Arabidopsis thaliana: one gene and its partners. The protein of the gene in region 2 interacts with the protein of the main gene of each other region in a biochemical or structural test. Each region holds a gene or a part of one and is shown on either strand. Other genes may lie near its edges. The genes, in order: CCA1, HY5, HFR1 and LAF1.

What was found.
Region 1: the proteins of HY5 (region 2) and CCA1 form a complex in vitro, tested with the Arabidopsis thaliana proteins (one study listed by BioGRID).
Region 3: the proteins of HY5 (region 2) and HFR1 form a complex in vitro, tested with the Arabidopsis thaliana proteins (one study listed by BioGRID).
Region 4: the proteins of HY5 (region 2) and LAF1 form a complex in vitro, tested with the Arabidopsis thaliana proteins (2 studies listed by BioGRID).

What each region holds. Positions count from the first base shown.
Region 1 is NC_003071.7:19,243,882-19,249,454, forward strand, and holds CCA1 (circadian clock associated 1), read left to right. Parts: upstream 1-1,709; 5' UTR 1,710-1,991; intron 1,992-2,075; 5' UTR 2,076-2,123; coding exon 2,124-2,162; intron 2,163-2,241; coding exon 2,242-2,353; intron 2,354-2,441; coding exon 2,442-2,503; exon of another isoform or gene 2,504-2,870; intron 2,871-2,981; coding exon 2,982-3,176; intron 3,177-3,263; coding exon 3,264-3,437; intron 3,438-3,520; coding exon 3,521-4,402; intron 4,403-4,473; coding exon 4,474-4,836; 3' UTR 4,837-5,034; downstream 5,035-5,573. Other genes in the region: PSI-P (photosystem I P subunit), read left to right, coding at 1-4, 95-216, 304-390, 476-538, 797-834, 932-989; DUF4 (hypothetical protein (DOMAIN OF UNKNOWN FUNCTION 724 4)), read right to left, coding at 5,310-5,573. UniProt on the Arabidopsis thaliana protein: Transcription factor involved in the circadian clock and in the phytochrome regulation. Binds to the promoter regions of APRR1/TOC1 and TCP21/CHE to repress their transcription. Binds to the promoter regions of CAB2A and CAB2B to promote their transcription.
Region 2 is NC_003076.8:3,592,819-3,596,619, reverse strand, and holds HY5 (Basic-leucine zipper (bZIP) transcription factor family protein), read left to right. Parts: upstream 1-1,616; 5' UTR 1,617-1,819; coding exon 1,820-1,916; intron 1,917-2,146; coding exon 2,147-2,330; intron 2,331-2,440; coding exon 2,441-2,702; 3' UTR 2,703-2,825; intron 2,826-2,968; coding exon of another isoform or gene 2,969-3,037; 3' UTR 3,038-3,259; downstream 3,260-3,801. Other genes in the region: OCP3 (overexpressor of cationic peroxidase 3), read left to right, coding at 1-348, 526-843, 935-1,063.
Region 3 is NC_003070.9:465,079-469,761, reverse strand, and holds HFR1 (basic helix-loop-helix (bHLH) DNA-binding superfamily protein), read left to right. Parts: upstream 1-1,881; 5' UTR 1,882-2,076; coding exon 2,077-2,078; exon of another isoform or gene 2,079-2,209; coding exon 2,210-2,576; intron 2,577-2,675; coding exon 2,676-2,804; intron 2,805-2,964; coding exon 2,965-3,030; intron 3,031-3,514; coding exon 3,515-3,829; 3' UTR 3,830-4,146; downstream 4,147-4,683. UniProt on the Arabidopsis thaliana protein: Atypical bHLH transcription factor that regulates photomorphogenesis through modulation of phytochrome (e.g. PHYA) and cryptochrome signalings. Suppresses the transcriptional regulation activity of PIF4 by forming non-DNA-binding heterodimer.
Region 4 is NC_003075.7:13,050,864-13,054,271, forward strand, and holds LAF1 (myb domain protein 18), read left to right. Parts: upstream 1-1,639; 5' UTR 1,640-1,691; coding exon 1,692-1,818; intron 1,819-1,864; exon of another isoform or gene 1,865-1,905; coding exon 1,906-2,035; intron 2,036-2,115; coding exon 2,116-2,710; 3' UTR 2,711-2,879; downstream 2,880-3,408. Other genes in the region: AT4G25550 (Cleavage/polyadenylation specificity factor, 25kDa subunit), read left to right, coding at 1-10; ACYB-2 (Cytochrome b561/ferric reductase transmembrane protein family), read right to left, coding at 3,024-3,350. UniProt on the Arabidopsis thaliana protein: Transcription factor that promotes photomorphogenesis in the light by participating in the transmission of phytochrome A (phyA) signals to downstream responses. Probably acts by activating expression of light-induced genes.

The DNA of each region.
Region 1 (5,573 bases), on a different chromosome or scaffold from region 2:
TACTGTTCGTTTTCCATAAATCTGAAGATTTTTCTTTTCACTTTTAATTTCGAGTTTAAAGTTTCAAACTTTCGAAATGGGTTTTGGTTTTTAGGTCGGAAGATTGTGAGGAACGTTGTGACGAGAGCTACTACTGAAGTTGGTGAAGCTCCTGCCACTACTACCGAAGCTGAGACTACTGAGTTACCTGAAATCGTCAAGACTGCTCAAGAAGCTGTAAATACTCTTACTTTATTTATACAATGATGATTCTACCTCTTGCTTCTGGGTTACATGTACTGAATTTGGTTGTTTGGATTGAAGTGGGAGAAAGTGGATGACAAGTACGCTATTGGTTCTCTTGCCTTTGCTGGTGTAGTGGCTCTTTGGGGTTCTGCTGGAATGATTTCGGTGAGTAGAAGAATACTACTTTCTTCTTAAAACCCTAGTGTTAAATTTCCTTTATTTGATTCCAAAATTTGTTATTGTGAAACAGGCAATCGATAGGCTTCCATTGGTTCCTGGTGTTCTTGAACTTGTAGGCATCGGTTACACAGGAGTGAGTTTCTTCTTCTCTTTGTATCACTTGAACCAAAGCTCTCATGAACCTGTTTTGAGGATATAGATGATTCATCACTTCACTTTTGGATTTAGGATTAGTTCTCTGAATTTAGAATCCGAACATCTGCAATTCATATGGAGATATGATATCAGAAATTGATTGCTGCTTCTCGCTAGTGTTTCAATCTTAAAAGACGTGTGTAGTTTGTTTCAATTGTGTGATGGACCTTATTAACATTTGGTTTTTCTATGGCAGTGGTTCACTTACAAGAACCTGGTCTTCAAACCAGACAGGTTAACCAATTCTCTCTTTAACTCTGTGTTTGGTTGCATGTAATACTGAGAATGGAAGACTCAAATTCTCGAGGAAATTGTTTGTTATCTGTTTCAGGGAGGCTTTGTTTGAGAAGGTCAAGAGCACATACAAAGACATATTAGGGAGCAGCTGAATCAAAGGAGGAAGAAGAAGAAGAAGAGCCTTTTTGAGGCCATTCATGAATTGGAATGAAGGATATCAAAAGAATCTAACACAAAGGCCACGTCCTTCCTTCAATCTTTCCTTCTTGTAACTAAATAATTTTCATCCTTTCTCTCTCTCTGTCTCTGGTCTTTTTTAGCTCAAAGTATCATCCATTTATGTCAAAGTGTTGTAAATTCCTCAAGACTATATATGAGATGTTTTGTTTCATTTTCCAAAATTTCAAACTTTGTCCCCATTTAGTCTTCTACCCTTCATGCATGGTTAGCTTAGCTTAATGCTGAACTGTTGAATAACGATATGGGCCTTATGCTAAAAGAACAAAACCTTATGGGTCTAAAAAAAATAAGCCCAATATAAAACTATGGCCCAAATAAGTTTAGGTCCATTAGAGTGTGAGAATAGCGCGTGTAGTGAACCGCACGAGAATGCGCGTTCGATTGTTGGTGAAGTAGTCGTCTAGATTCCCGGGTCCACTGATGTTTCTAGTGTATCAGACACGTGTCGACAAACTGGTGGGAGAGATTAACGATCTTAAGTAGGTCCCACTAGATCAAGATATTATAACGAATTGACCTTTTTAACCTTTCAGGTAGTCCCGGAACTCGTGGCCTAGAATACAAAGAAGGTTGTGAACAAGTTGATGTTAAGATGGACAAGAATGTAACTTGAACAAAAGCTGAATCATCTCTTCAGCCACTAGTATGTTGACATATGGCAGTTTCTTTTGTAGCCTCGAAATAAATAAATTAAAAAGTTTGAGGTTAAAGATAATTATAGTGGCTGAGATTTCTCCATTTCCGTAGCTTCTGGTCTCTTTTCTTTGTTTCATTGATCAAAAGCAAATCACTTCTTCTTCTTCTTCTTCTCGATTTCTTACTGTTTTCTTATCCAACGAAATCTGGAATTAAAAATGGAATCTTTATCGAATCCAAGCTGATTTTGTTTCTTTCATTGAATCATCTCTCTAAAGGTACTTAAGATTGATTTATTGTCATGGTCTTTCTTATTGTTTGATGAATAACTTGACTTGATTGTTTTTTGTTTTGTGGATTAGTGGAATTTTGTAAAGAGAAGATCTGAAGTTGTGTAGAGGAGCTTAGTGATGGAGACAAATTCGTCTGGAGAAGATCTGGTTATTAAGGTAAATTAAACTAAATTTTAGGGGGAAGATGATTGTTTTAGGTGTCAAAGATTGAGAATTTTAATGAAACTTGATATAGACTCGGAAGCCATATACGATAACAAAGCAACGTGAAAGGTGGACTGAGGAAGAACATAATAGATTCATTGAAGCTTTGAGGCTTTATGGTAGAGCATGGCAGAAGATTGAAGGTTGATTTTTATTTCCCTTTATATGTCTTATTTTTTGTGTTTGCAGAGGTTTGTCTTCAAACTGATTTGCTTTTTTTCATTTGGACAGAACATGTAGCAACAAAAACTGCTGTCCAGATAAGAAGTCACGCTCAGAAATTTTTCTCCAAGGTAAAATCGGTTAATTTTGAAATGATGTTCTCATCTTCATTGGCTTAATGCTTAAGACTTATTGAAAGCCAGGCAAGTTTTCTGCTTCTTTTGCTTCTTAGTCAGGAGATAGATAGATTACGTTTTTAGAGTTTAGTAATGAGCAATAAGTCTTAAAATAGTTGGAGAAATGACGAGATGTAATCGTTTTCTTTTGTTTATGCCTATATCTTGTTAATCCACAAACATGTACATAGATTCTTCAGAAGAATGTTAGTTTCTTTAGATTCTTCAGATAAACTTGTGTCTTCTTACCGATTCTGAGGTAGTGGCAAAAGTGGGCTGAGTGCTAGAAATTTTTGAATGTTCCTTGTGATAAGCCATAGAGGTAAACCATTTTTGATTTTCCAGTTCTGTCATTTAAACTTGTTAGTGTCATTAGATTTTTGTTTGTTTACGTTTGTTTAGAGGGTAACAAAACTACTCTCATCTCTCTCAGGTAGAGAAAGAGGCTGAAGCTAAAGGTGTAGCTATGGGTCAAGCGCTAGACATAGCTATTCCTCCTCCACGGCCTAAGCGTAAACCAAACAATCCTTATCCTCGAAAGACGGGAAGTGGAACGATCCTTATGTCAAAAACGGGTGTGAATGATGGAAAAGAGTCCCTTGGATCAGAAAAAGTGTCGCATCCTGAGGTGATTTTCATGGTCATATGGCATCTTTTTGCAGTGTGTCACATTGCTCCTCATGTTATTAATACAGATTGTGTGCTTCGTTTATAGATGGCCAATGAAGATCGACAACAATCAAAGCCTGAAGAGAAAACTCTGCAGGAAGACAACTGTTCAGATTGTTTCACTCATCAGTATCTCTCTGCTGCATCCTCCATGAATAAAAGTTGTATAGAGACATCAAACGCAAGCACTTTCCGCGAGTTCTTGCCTTCACGGGAAGAGGTAAAAAACAATCTTTCATTGCTATTTGAGGTTTTAAGACGATTAGTACTTTTCATGAAACTAAAACCGTGGGGGAATAACAGGGAAGTCAGAATAACAGGGTAAGAAAGGAGTCAAACTCAGATTTGAATGCAAAATCTCTGGAAAACGGTAATGAGCAAGGACCTCAGACTTATCCGATGCATATCCCTGTGCTAGTGCCATTGGGGAGCTCAATAACAAGTTCTCTATCACATCCTCCTTCAGAGCCAGATAGTCATCCCCACACAGTTGCAGGAGATTATCAGTCGTTTCCTAATCATATAATGTCAACCCTTTTACAAACACCGGCTCTTTATACTGCCGCAACTTTCGCCTCATCATTTTGGCCTCCCGATTCTAGTGGTGGCTCACCTGTTCCAGGGAACTCACCTCCGAATCTGGCTGCCATGGCCGCAGCCACTGTTGCAGCTGCTAGTGCTTGGTGGGCTGCCAATGGATTATTACCTTTATGTGCTCCTCTTAGTTCAGGTGGTTTCACTAGTCATCCTCCATCTACTTTTGGACCATCATGTGATGTAGAGTACACAAAAGCAAGCACTTTACAACATGGTTCTGTGCAGAGCCGAGAGCAAGAACACTCCGAGGCATCAAAGGCTCGATCTTCACTGGACTCAGAGGATGTTGAAAATAAGAGTAAACCAGTTTGTCATGAGCAGCCTTCTGCAACACCTGAGAGTGATGCAAAGGGTTCAGATGGAGCAGGAGACAGAAAACAAGTTGACCGGTCCTCGTGTGGCTCAAACACTCCGTCGAGTAGTGATGATGTTGAGGCGGATGCATCAGAAAGGCAAGAGGATGGCACCAATGGTGAGGTGAAAGAAACGAATGAAGACACTAATAAACCTCAAACTTCAGAGTCCAATGCACGCCGCAGTAGAATCAGCTCCAATATAACCGATCCATGGAAGTCTGTGTCTGACGAGGTACTTACTTGGACTAAAGATCAACTTCCTTTATTTCAAATCATTTTCTCATATAAATATTGTACATTCAGGGTCGAATTGCCTTCCAAGCTCTCTTCTCCAGAGAGGTATTGCCGCAAAGTTTTACATATCGAGAAGAACACAGAGAGGAAGAACAACAACAACAAGAACAAAGATATCCAATGGCACTTGATCTTAACTTCACAGCTCAGTTAACACCAGTTGATGATCAAGAGGAGAAGAGAAACACAGGATTTCTTGGAATCGGATTAGATGCTTCAAAGCTAATGAGTAGAGGAAGAACAGGTTTTAAACCATACAAAAGATGTTCCATGGAAGCCAAAGAAAGTAGAATCCTCAACAACAATCCTATCATTCATGTGGAACAGAAAGATCCCAAACGGATGCGGTTGGAAACTCAAGCTTCCACATGAGACTCTATTTTCATCTGATCTGTTGTTTGTACTCTGTTTTTAAGTTTTCAAGACCACTGCTACATTTTCTTTTTCTTTTGAGGCCTTTGTATTTGTTTCCTTGTCCATAGTCTTCCTGTAACATTTGACTCTGTATTATTCAACAAATCATAAACTGTTTAATCTTTTTTTTTCCAACCTGGAAAGAACTTCACTCAAGGGGCTCTTGTTCTTGATATATGCAAACGACAGAGTTCCAAAACGTAATCTTAGCCCATCCATCACCCTTAAGTTGTCTCATAACTCATAAGTAAGCACAAAAGCACCACACAAATAAGCAAACTCTACTTCCTTATGTCATCACATAAATAGAAAGGCAAGCAGCCAAAGGCAAGCAGTAGCAAGTACAACAGAGTTGTTACAAAAAAGGATTAAATAAAAACAGAAGTTATAAGGATAAATCCAACCACACCCATGAAATGACCCCATATCTTTTATTTGGCCGTCTCCTTGTCTTCAAAGCTGCTTTTGCACCTCACCAGACTCTTTTTCAGCTTGCTATAATCATCTGCCATCTCTTTCTCCATCCCTTTTTGTTGTCTGAGGGATTCACGTCTCATCTTGCGGAGAACTAACAGCGTGAGGACCTGTGATAAAGGTTCTGCAACGTCGAAACCCTGCTCCTCGAACATTTTAAATGTCTCTCTGTAGACATCTAGTTCACTTTTTGGAGTGTCCTCACACATACCATCTACTGT
Region 2 (3,801 bases):
GGTGAGGAGGAGGAGGATCCATTTGAGGCATTGTTTAATCTTTTAGAAGAAGATTTGAAGAATGATAACTCGGATGATGAGGAGATAAGTGAGGAAGAGTTAGAGGCATTAGCCGATGAGTTAGCTCGAGCATTGGGTGTTGGTGACGATGTTGATGACATCGACTTGTTTGGTTCAGTCACTGGTGATGTTGATGTTGATGTTGATAATGATGATGATGATAATGATGATGATGATAATGATGATGATGATGATGACAGCGAAGAAGATGAAAGACCGACTAAGCTGAAGAATTGGCAGCTTAAAAGACTGGCTTATGCATTGAAAGCTGGGCGTCGTAAAACTAGTGTAAGTTTTAGTTCAGTGTTGAAGTGATGTTGAATACATTGTGTAAAGCATAGTGCTTGAGTTAGTGTCTGCTTTGGAGATTTTGCTTACGAATTGTTTAAGAGTTGACAAAGAACAAGTAGTTCTCTGGTTTTCAAATGCATAATTGATAACGGATGGTTTTGTTGTGATCTGTAGATTAAAAATCTGGCAGCTGAGGTTTGTCTTGACAGGGCTTATGTTCTTGAATTGCTTCGTGACCCGCCTCCAAAGCTGCTAATGCTAAGTGCTACACTACCAGATGAAAAACCGCCAGTAGCAGCACCTGAGAACTCCTCACCTGATCCAAGTCCTGTGGAATCATTATCAGCTGAAGATGTTGTGGTCGAACCTAAGGAAAAAGTAAAAGATGAAGCAGTTCATGTGATGCAACAGAGATGGTCTGCTCAGAAAAGAGTGAAGAAAGCTCACATTGAAACGCTAGAGAAAGTTTACAGAAGATCAAAACGACCCACTGTAAGGATTCTCCTTTTACATTTGAATCAATTTCTATGTTACTTGAATGCTCTATCTCACATATGATCATGTTTGATGATGCTGTGAATAGAATGCTGTGGTTAGCAGCATTGTTCAAGTGACCAATCTTCCAAGGAAGCGAGTTTTGAAGTGGTTCGAAGATAAAAGAGCAGAAGACGGAGTTCCAGATAAGCGAGCTCCATATCAAGCTCCGGTTTGATCTAATGTTAACGTTGAGATGGCAATGATTTGTATACTTGATTCTCAGAAACTCATCAACATTGTCGTCAAGGACAAGTTTTTTTGGTGATACGAGGAGTGTTTATAGTAGTAGATTCTGTCCAATGGTGTGGCTGGATATGTTGGACTATGAAATTTTAGGATATCTTGTATTCAGTTTTTAGTTATTTCCTTGCTGAGATTGTGTCTTGTAGAAAACCGTTTCAACTTTGTTTGGTTTATGGCGGCTATAAAGTTTAATTTTAATGCATGACAAAAACAAATCACCAAAAATAAAATAAATTACTTTCACGACACTTTTGAAAGCACTGCCCTAGGCGTGGGCCATGTGACAGAATGAAAGAACTCAGACCAAACTTTTCTGTCCAAGGACAGGAATGGGGCCCACCCAATTAGCTCCCCTATCCATTATTCACCGTAAGATGCTAACCAGATCTAACGGCTAAAATCCACCCACGTTCCAATCTCAATTGCCTTTGGATCCTTGTATTTCCTCAAGGCTCACCTTTCTCCACGATTCACTCTCGATATCCGTTCGATTCTTCAGAGATCTGACGGCGGTAGCCAGAGTAATCTATTCCTTCCCAAAATGTCTCGCAATTAGATTCTTTCCAAGTTCTTCTGTAAATCCCAAGTCCCGCTCTTTTCCTCTTTATCCTTTTCACCAGCTTCGCTACTAAGACAACAAATCTTTCCCTCTCTCTCTCGCCTGATCGATCTTCAAAGAGTAAGAAAAATGCAGGAACAAGCGACTAGCTCTTTAGCTGCAAGCTCTTTACCATCAAGCAGCGAGAGGTCATCAAGCTCTGCTCCACATTTGGAGATCAAAGAAGGTAAACAAAAATTGTCGATTGTTTTATTTTCATATCTTCTCCCAACGAGTGATCTCATTGATTTTCATTCTCATGCATTGGATATCTAGTAAATTCACATCTAGATTTTGTATCACCATTGATTCACATCTAGATTCACAACTTTTAGTCTCCCCCAGAAGATCTGCAATTTTTTATTGTATTTAAAAAGTTTGAAACTTTTCGTCTAAAGTCTCTTTTATGTTTTAAAGGAATTGAAAGCGATGAGGAGATACGGCGAGTGCCGGAGTTTGGAGGAGAAGCTGTCGGAAAAGAAACTTCCGGTAGAGAATCTGGATCGGCGACCGGTCAGGAGCGGACACAGGCGACTGTCGGAGAAAGTCAAAGGAAGCGAGGGAGGACACCGGCGGAGAAAGAGAACAAGCGGCTGAAGAGGTGTCTTTTTCTCTATTCATTGAATTTACATTTTTACCCTTTATATGGAAGGTGATTATGTTAAATAACGGTTGCGTGATGGGGTTGTTTGGTAATTTTGTGGTGAAAAGGTTGTTGAGGAACAGAGTTTCAGCTCAGCAAGCAAGAGAGAGGAAAAAGGCTTACTTGAGCGAGTTGGAAAACAGAGTGAAAGACTTGGAGAACAAAAACTCTGAACTTGAAGAGCGACTCTCTACTCTTCAGAACGAGAACCAGATGCTTAGACATGTACGTTTTGTCGATCTTACTGTTGACTTAACCTGCAACGTCAATGCTTTTGCCATTTGTTTTTTGATATATCACAGTACTGGTTTATCACATTTACGAGTCTAGGATTGACCAATAATTAGTTTAGTTAGTTAAAAGGATCTAAGAAGCTAACTTAAGCTTTAGATTAATTCTCAGAAGGCATGTAGGTTCTTGAAATGGTCATTCACTCGCATATTCTCTCAAAAGGCATGTAAATTCTTCAATGGTTCTTGAAATGCTCACTCATTTTGTTCTATATGAATGGAGAAGATGAGATTGCAAAGTTGGATCTCTATGTGTGTGTGTGGTAATAAAGTCTTTTGAGTTGTTATGTTTTTTATGTGGTGTAGATTCTGAAGAACACAACAGGAAACAAGAGAGGAGGTGGTGGTGGTTCTAATGCTGATGCAAGCCTTTGATCTCCTTCTTCTTCTTGTGTTATATTTTTGTGGATAAAATTTACAGAGAATTGTATCAATAATTATCATGTTAAAATTATATGGGATGTGAGAGCTAATATTGCAATTGTAGACCAAGTTCTCTTATTGTAGTCTTAGATTTCTCTTAATTGAAACATAATGTTGTTTTATAACAAAAATAAGCTAATTTTTGTTCTATGATATGACATTGTGACACTGTAGTAGAAAGGTTGCGTTTTCGATTCCCGCAGTTCAAAGTCCCAAACAAATTCTGGGATAGTGGAATCTTTACTCTTTTTTTTTTCCTTTTTGCCCCTATCCCTCCCGATTTCTTACAGACAAGTCGCCATGGATTTGTAAACGAAGATGCCGTTGATCATATTATGCGGAAATCGGACAAAGAGGGTAGGGTCGATCTTTTACAGCCAAAGCTTGTCAAGCTCGAGAGATGAGCAATCATGTAAGTGTTTTCTTACACTTTTGCTTTCCTTTTTCTAAAATCCATGGAATCCAGACATTGTTTTCTGTCACTGCTACCTTGAACTTGCTGCTCCCTTCTTAGAATCGGGTTGCCACAACCGAATTTCATGGACAAAATCGTACATTTCTTTACCTGTTGTATGCTTTCTGATTCTTTGTTTTCTATTTTAGATTTTTCGTGGATCTCATCTTCATCTATTGCTAGTTGCTAGTGTACTATGGATTGTTTGACATTATTTCTCATGCTTTTGAGGATACTCAGATTCTATCAATGTTAACAAAGA
Region 3 (4,683 bases), on a different chromosome or scaffold from region 2:
TTCACTCCTCATTGATGGGCCCTTAATAAATTCATATTTGGGTTAATAACATTACATGGGCTAACCTAAAAGCCCAGTAAAGATAACGTTCTATTTGGCAAAAAAAGAAGAAGATAGATAGATCATAGATGCTGCATTTAATGTACAACAAAAATAAAAATCGTCAATCAACCACTAGATACACAAATAGTACTTCGTATAGTATATGATTCCAACCAAAACGGTGGGAACAAGAGAAAAATATTAAAATAAGAATCAATAATGCAAAGTTTTTCCATAATATCAAATAGATTGAACAGTGGGAAGTTGTAGATTGGAACGTATATTCCGAGAGGTCGTTGTCGTGAAGGAGATTGGAAACCTATGTAGTGGCTGTGGTTTTGCTTCGTCGCTCGCTAAGACACCAACAAAATATAAAGTACCCAAGTGTCAGACATAGCACCATGTCCATCACGAGGGCATCACGTGAACACGCCTTTTCTTCTTCCTCTCTCTCTCTCTTTTTCGATTTTTTTCAGGCCCATTTGATTCAACGCTACAAAGTTAACATTCATTAGTCAATTGAATAATAATAATTAGTATTTTTGTTCTACTAATTCGAAATTAGAATTTGATACTGTTTTTTTTTTTTTTTGATTGTTGATATTTAGTAACCAGGTCATTTTTGTTTATTCAGAATATGTTGTAATTATTGGAGTTTTTTTTAATTAAGGAAAATAGTGTGGACCTTTTTTATCAAAGATAGTAATAATGTGGACCATCGCACCTGCTCGGTGTATGGTTGATGATGACGTGACTCTAAAATTCCAATAAATGTGTCGTGGGGTTACAGAAAACAAAAAAAACTGATTCGTTATAGGATTGGTTTAGAGCCCACAACCCACGTGGGATTTTGGATAAAACCCTAAATGAATTCTTTTTTCAGGAATCCATAAATGGTCATGAAATGAAATGCATTCTCAGGCTGGAAATAATCGACCATTATATTATTGCACAAAAAAGTGAACTCTAGTATCATAACTCTGAAATTATTATGATTGCTGGTTACTGAATTTTGTAAGCCTTTCATAATAACGAATTTACCAATTGGGAGATCGAATAATCTTATCGTTGTTACAGACGATATTTTTTTGTCGATTATATTATGAAACTTGTGGTAGTCAACCTTTTTTTTTCCAAACGGAGACGTCATCTTTTTGTTTTTATATTTAGAGATGATCTGACCAAAAATAAACAAATAGACATCCGATATTTTACATTGTTTTATATATATATAAAGATAAAGCTTAATGACGAGTATTCAATGATAAACGATAAGATTACGGGAAAAATAATTAAACGGATAAAAATGGCCCTACCCGTTGTGCATTACAGTTCTTGGTTAAGAAATACTATTAAACTGTCTCTCAAATCTCAATATATAAATGAATACATTCTATACGTACAAAGATAAATTTATCTCTATGTTCATGTGTCAAAGTGGTAGTGAATCTAGTGACGTTATTGATTAATCAAGATTACTTTTATCTTTCTGTGCAAAATTTCAAGATTACTCTAAAGTCGATATATGCTACTATGACGTAGTTTTGGGACAATTACGTATAGAATCATAAAAACAATAAGCAGAATAATAATCCATTTAAGTACATTGTGAATTTGTGATAATGGAATTATTTGACAATACTTTTCCAAAATAAAAACTAATTTAATTACTGTATTAATTATTTTAGTAAAACAATATTTTCATTACAATGTTTGTTGTGAATCCAAAAAAGTATTGTTTCCAAAGAACTCAAATGACATCAATATGTCTATAATAACCTCGTGTAGCTGTATGTTAGAATCTAGCCGAATTGTTTTATTGTTGTCGGTGTACGCAACAAACGAACCACACATACTTTGAAACGTGGCACAATATAAGTGGGTCACCAATGTAGCTGACAACTATACCATCTATCTGATCCGATCGCTCTTATAACATAAGCGTATGGGATACCATTTTCTCGGACAAAGCTGAAATCCCTAAAGAAAAAACACTTCTCCAAACTTTTCATCTCCGATATCTCTTTAACTAACATGTAAGTATAATTAAACAGGAGGTTTCAGAGTTTAGGTTTCTTGCCTTGTTATTCTCTTTATTTATTTCTTTAATAATTTATCAATGATTTGTATCGTAAACCCTAATAGTTTACTACTTTTTTCTTGGCAGGTCGAATAATCAAGCTTTCATGGAATTGGGATGGAGAAACGACGTCGGATCACTTGCTGTGAAAGATCAGGGCATGATGTCAGAAAGAGCAAGAAGTGATGAAGATCGTCTAATCAACGGTCTAAAATGGGGCTACGGCTACTTTGATCATGATCAAACTGATAATTATCTTCAGATTGTTCCAGAGATTCATAAAGAAGTAGAAAATGCGAAGGAGGATTTATTGGTTGTTGTCCCTGATGAACATTCTGAAACTGATGATCATCATCATATTAAAGATTTTTCAGAGAGATCAGATCATCGATTTTATCTGAGAAACAAACATGAGAACCCCAAAAAACGTCGTATCCAGGTCTTAAGTAGTGATGTAAGTCGATACATAGATATATTTTCATGTTACCTTATGTATTATCATTTTTCACTGTTTTTAATTTTTTCTTTCTATAAATAAAATTAATTAATTTAGGATGAATCGGAGGAGTTTACAAGAGAAGTTCCTTCAGTTACTCGAAAAGGTTCCAAGAGAAGAAGAAGAGACGAGAAGATGAGTAATAAGATGCGTAAGCTACAGCAACTCGTACCTAATTGTCACAAGGTTGGTGTGTATATAGATCCTTCTATATAATGTTTCAATTTAACTATTGAGTGTCTAGTCTTTTCCGTATAAGTTTCCGCTACTTCCGTTGCATATATGAAGAAATCTTGCCTTAAGTTTCCAATTCTGATAACGGGTGGTGCTTTTTTACGGTTTTCAGACGGACAAGGTTTCGGTTCTCGACAAGACCATAGAGTATATGAAAAACCTTCAACTTCAACTTCAGGTCTATATTTAACTTTATTCACTATTTTTATTTCACACTTTATTCAGTGTTCTTCTTCCATATATTTGAATTATTGAGGCTTGAGGTTTTAAGTGTTTATCTAATAGTCTGAGTTTTTTTTTGGTTAATTTAACTAGTTGACATAAACTGTTCTTGGTATTCGATCTGACTCGCCAACTTATGAGATATGGATTATTGTTTTACAATATGGGTTTCAAATTGATCAAACAAATATAGCCACTTTTTGGTGTTTAGTGACGAAAAAAATGGAATGATATATAGTAGGCAGTAGATAACCTAGATGGTGAAGTCTATAGAATTTCTTTAATATTTCGAATTCATCTCTTTTCATGTGATTATTTAGTGCCAACTAAATGTTTTATATTTTATAGAACTATGTACCCATTTTGATCATTCGAATATGTATATGTGCTATTTATATTCAGAAACTAAGTTGTAATCAAAGTTGATGTTATAATTGCAGATGATGTCAACAGTGGGGGTGAATCCTTATTTTCTTCCGGCGACATTAGGATTTGGAATGCACAACCACATGCTGACGGCAATGGCTTCGGCTCACGGCCTAAATCCGGCGAATCACATGATGCCATCGCCGCTAATTCCGGCGTTAAATTGGCCATTACCACCGTTTACTAATATTTCATTCCCACATTCATCTAGTCAATCTCTATTTCTTACAACATCATCACCAGCTTCTTCTCCTCAGTCTCTTCACGGTTTGGTTCCTTATTTCCCAAGTTTCTTGGATTTTTCTTCCCATGCGATGAGAAGACTATGATAAGTAAGTAGCTCGATAAAAGTTTATGTGAAATGATCGTTGACTAATTAAGAGAGAAAAGAGTTCCAAATTAGGACAGTTTGTGTGAACCATTTGTGTCATATACTTTTTTTTCCGGGTGGTTTTGTATATTAATAATAATCAATAAGTTAAAACTTTTTGTATAAATTCTTGCATGTAACAATTTTTTCATTTATCTGATATTTTGTAAAATATATTGAGACATGCTTATAAGAGCATTGAACGTAGGAACAAGATTTCCCTGATTCTTAAGCGTCTCAAACGTTTACACTTGGTTACATGCATCCCAACTAGCTTTATCTTCAGCATCTCAAATTCAGGACCAGTGGGTCATACACTATGATAATGTTAATGTACAAAAAGTAACATTAACTTACCTCTGCACACTGCATGTTACTTAGAAGTTAGGATGTGGCTCTGCCAAATATAGGGCCGGATGTATGAGAAAAGATCAAAAGAAGAAATGAGGAAACTTGACTTCGAGAATTATTAATCACTTTCTTACACATCAATTATTGATTTGCGTTTTGTGTTTACACATCGCTTTTCCACAGTTGATATATTCATTTTTTTGTGGAAAATTCAAAATGTTTTCTGTTTTAAAGTTGTGACTTGTGAGTAATAATCTCTTTTCTTTTGTTTTCTGAGCTAGGTAAATACACACACAAGAAATATTACGTCCGAAACTCGAGACACAATTCATATTTATATATAAAAAAAGAAAAATTCTACACGCACAGACACAGGCGCACACTTATATACGTATTATTTTACAAATACATATCCTTTTGTCTCAATAAGGCTTGGCTTTAGTGAAAAACAATGTCAGAAAG
Region 4 (3,408 bases), on a different chromosome or scaffold from region 2:
TAGTTCGTGATTTCGACTCGGTGTGTTCAAGAACAAGGAACCTATCAGATGGGTAAGTTACTTAGGTACGGTAGAGAGCTGTAGCTACCGGATTAGAGATGGGGTTTTCCAATGATGCGAGTTGGGTTTTTTGCATTATAGACTTGTTGGCTTTTATGTAGAACCGGTTCAAAGTGTCAGCACAAAAAACAAAGATTATTGTATCTCATTTTTAAAAGCATTTGTCATTGTTTGACTAACGCCTGTCTTCTCTAACCGTAAAACATGTGTTTCATTCAATGTTGAATGATGTTTTTATTTTGGTGCATAAAACTAAGCCATGTTTAACCTTCTTTGTCAACATATTTCATAAAGTTTTATCAACATACCACAAGGCCTAATGGTCGAAGGAGGAGAAGTTTTGTTGTAGACGAACAATCTAAAGTATCCTAGTTATCATAACATTAGATGTATAAAATTTATTCTCCGAGGGCTAAGGATTAAGTCATCATAACATTAGATGTATAAAATTTATTAGTCGTGTTTCATTGGGGATTAGTTTGACGGCAAATTATATTATGTTATCAAGACGACCAAGACAAGGTAGACACTTTTTTATTGTTTCCCTCTCAATTTTCTTTACTCGTCATTTTCCACAGGCCAAAAGAGCCAACAAGTAAAAAACAAAATCAGAGTATTTTTAAAATTGGGACAGGCCATTTCGATCGGGACAGAAGGAATTCAAATTGTTGAAATTCACAATATTCCTCAAATAACTCTTATTATTGGTCCACTTGTCAGTGTGAATGTAAGAAAAACATCGTGAGAGGAAAAAATATGAAATAATTACTAGCAGCAAATAGGAGCTCAATGTTGACTTCACTACAAAATTTTATAATTAAGAGAAAAAGAGCTCTCAAATCATATAATAATTATTTCAAGTACTTGTATTAGCAAATGCAATTTGTCTGCTTGCTAATGATGCTTTACGAAAAGATTAACAGATTGGATGATTCTCTATAATCATTACTTCATTATTCACAATCATTGGATTGAATCAGACAGATTATTCCACCCGGATGATCGTTTCTAACCAAAAAACTCATTGACGCGATTTAAACATAAATTAAAGAAGTCGTTAATATAAAATTCTTGCCGACATTTTAGAGATTTTTGGATATGAAGATGTTATCTGATTAGTGTGTAAATTCTTAAGGCATCGTCCATTATAAATGAAGTAAATATAAGGAAAACAAACAATAAGAAAACAAAGTGAAAGAACAAAAACAAGCAAAGATTCTTCTTTTTTTTTTTTTTTATAGGTAGGAATCTCAAATCTTATATATACTGAAAATTGCTAATTTATTTTAAGTTGGAACATTATATCAATAATTTAAATTTATCCAAGCAGACTTTTGACACCTAATTAATCCTTACATATTCCATTATGACTTTTCTCCTCACTGCTTATACAAATGCATACAGTATACTCATAAGAAATTAACACATAAATTATATCCCAAATTTTCATAAAAATAGAAATATATATGTCATTTGTCATTTACTCTAAGCAGGCCCATTTGGTCATTTCTTAACACCAAGTATGTAGGCTCTATCTGTGGACGTTTGGTGATATATATGTTGTCTCAATCACCATATATAGTATTGAGACATGTTTTCTTGTATCAGGACAGACAGCTGACTAAAGAGAAATGGCGAAGACGAAATATGGAGAGAGACATAGGAAAGGGTTATGGTCACCTGAAGAAGACGAGAAGCTAAGGAGCTTCATCCTCTCTTATGGCCATTCTTGCTGGACCACTGTTCCCATCAAAGCTGGTCTCTCTTTCATCTTCTTCTTTATTAGTTTTTAGTTTCTCAAACTGAGTCAACTTTGATAATTGTTGTTGGGATTTAATTTGATAGGGTTACAAAGGAATGGGAAGAGCTGCAGATTAAGATGGATTAATTACCTAAGACCAGGGTTAAAGAGGGATATGATTAGTGCAGAAGAAGAAGAGACTATCTTGACGTTTCATTCTTCCTTGGGTAACAAGTAAGTGTATCTCTAAGACCTAACCCTATTGTTTTAGCAGATGCTAGTTATAGAGAGACTAATGATTTAGGTGTAATTAGGTGGTCGCAAATAGCTAAATTCTTACCGGGAAGAACAGACAATGAGATAAAGAACTATTGGCACTCTCATTTGAAAAAGAAATGGCTCAAGTCTCAGAGCTTACAAGATGCAAAATCTATTTCCCCTCCTTCGTCTTCATCATCATCACTTGTTGCTTGTGGAAAAAGAAATCCGGAAACCTTGATCTCGAATCACGTGTTCTCCTTCCAGAGACTTCTAGAGAACAAATCTTCATCTCCCTCACAAGAAAGCAACGGAAATAACAGCCATCAATGTTCTTCTGCTCCTGAGATTCCAAGGCTTTTCTTCTCTGAATGGCTTTCTTCTTCATATCCCCACACCGATTATTCCTCTGAGTTTACCGACTCTAAGCACAGTCAAGCTCCAAATGTCGAAGAGACTCTCTCAGCTTATGAAGAAATGGGTGATGTTGATCAGTTCCATTACAACGAAATGATGATCAACAACAGCAACTGGACTCTTAACGACATTGTGTTTGGTTCCAAATGTAAGAAGCAGGAGCATCATATTTATAGAGAGGCTTCAGATTGTAATTCTTCTGCTGAATTCTTTTCTCCATCAACAACGACGTAAATTGCGTTTATTGTAATGTAAATCAAATTTCTAAGGCAAAACCGGAAAAAAAATGTTTTGTTTTTTGTTTTGTCTTAAATGCTTTGACACCAATAAGGCAAATAGCATATATGGTTAAAGGAATGGCAATATGAAAGAAAAGAAAAGAAAAGAAAATGATTTAAAAGATTCATCAATATCATTGAAGATTTTACACACCAGAAGTAGCAAAGCCGTAACACACAAAGCTTTTCGCTACAAATGCATCATACATAAATGGAGTTTTGAGAGTACAAGGGGCGATACAGATGTAACGTGGAATGTAGAAAGTGTTTTATATAGCAGAATAACTGAAGTCAACACTATCATCATTGGAGACGGAAGGAGAAGGAGAAGGAGACTCAGCAGAAGCAGTGAGTACCACAAAGGCACCAAAGAGAATAGTGATAATGGCCGTGAAGTTGATAAGAAATGCTTCGGATCCATACTTGTCAAGCCCTCCATTCTCCAAGAAAGTCAGCTTTTCCAGAAACCCTAAAGCTGCATTCCCGACAGCAAGTATGTAAACAAACAGGCCAAGCATTGCGTGCCACGGAAGCAATCCGCTTTTCAAATTTGTTGATCCTCCTGGGAAGAAGAACACTATGAAGCTGTACACCCACTGTAAAGTTCAAAACTCTTGTTCTGGTCAGGAACAATATACAACAATAGGTAAAAAC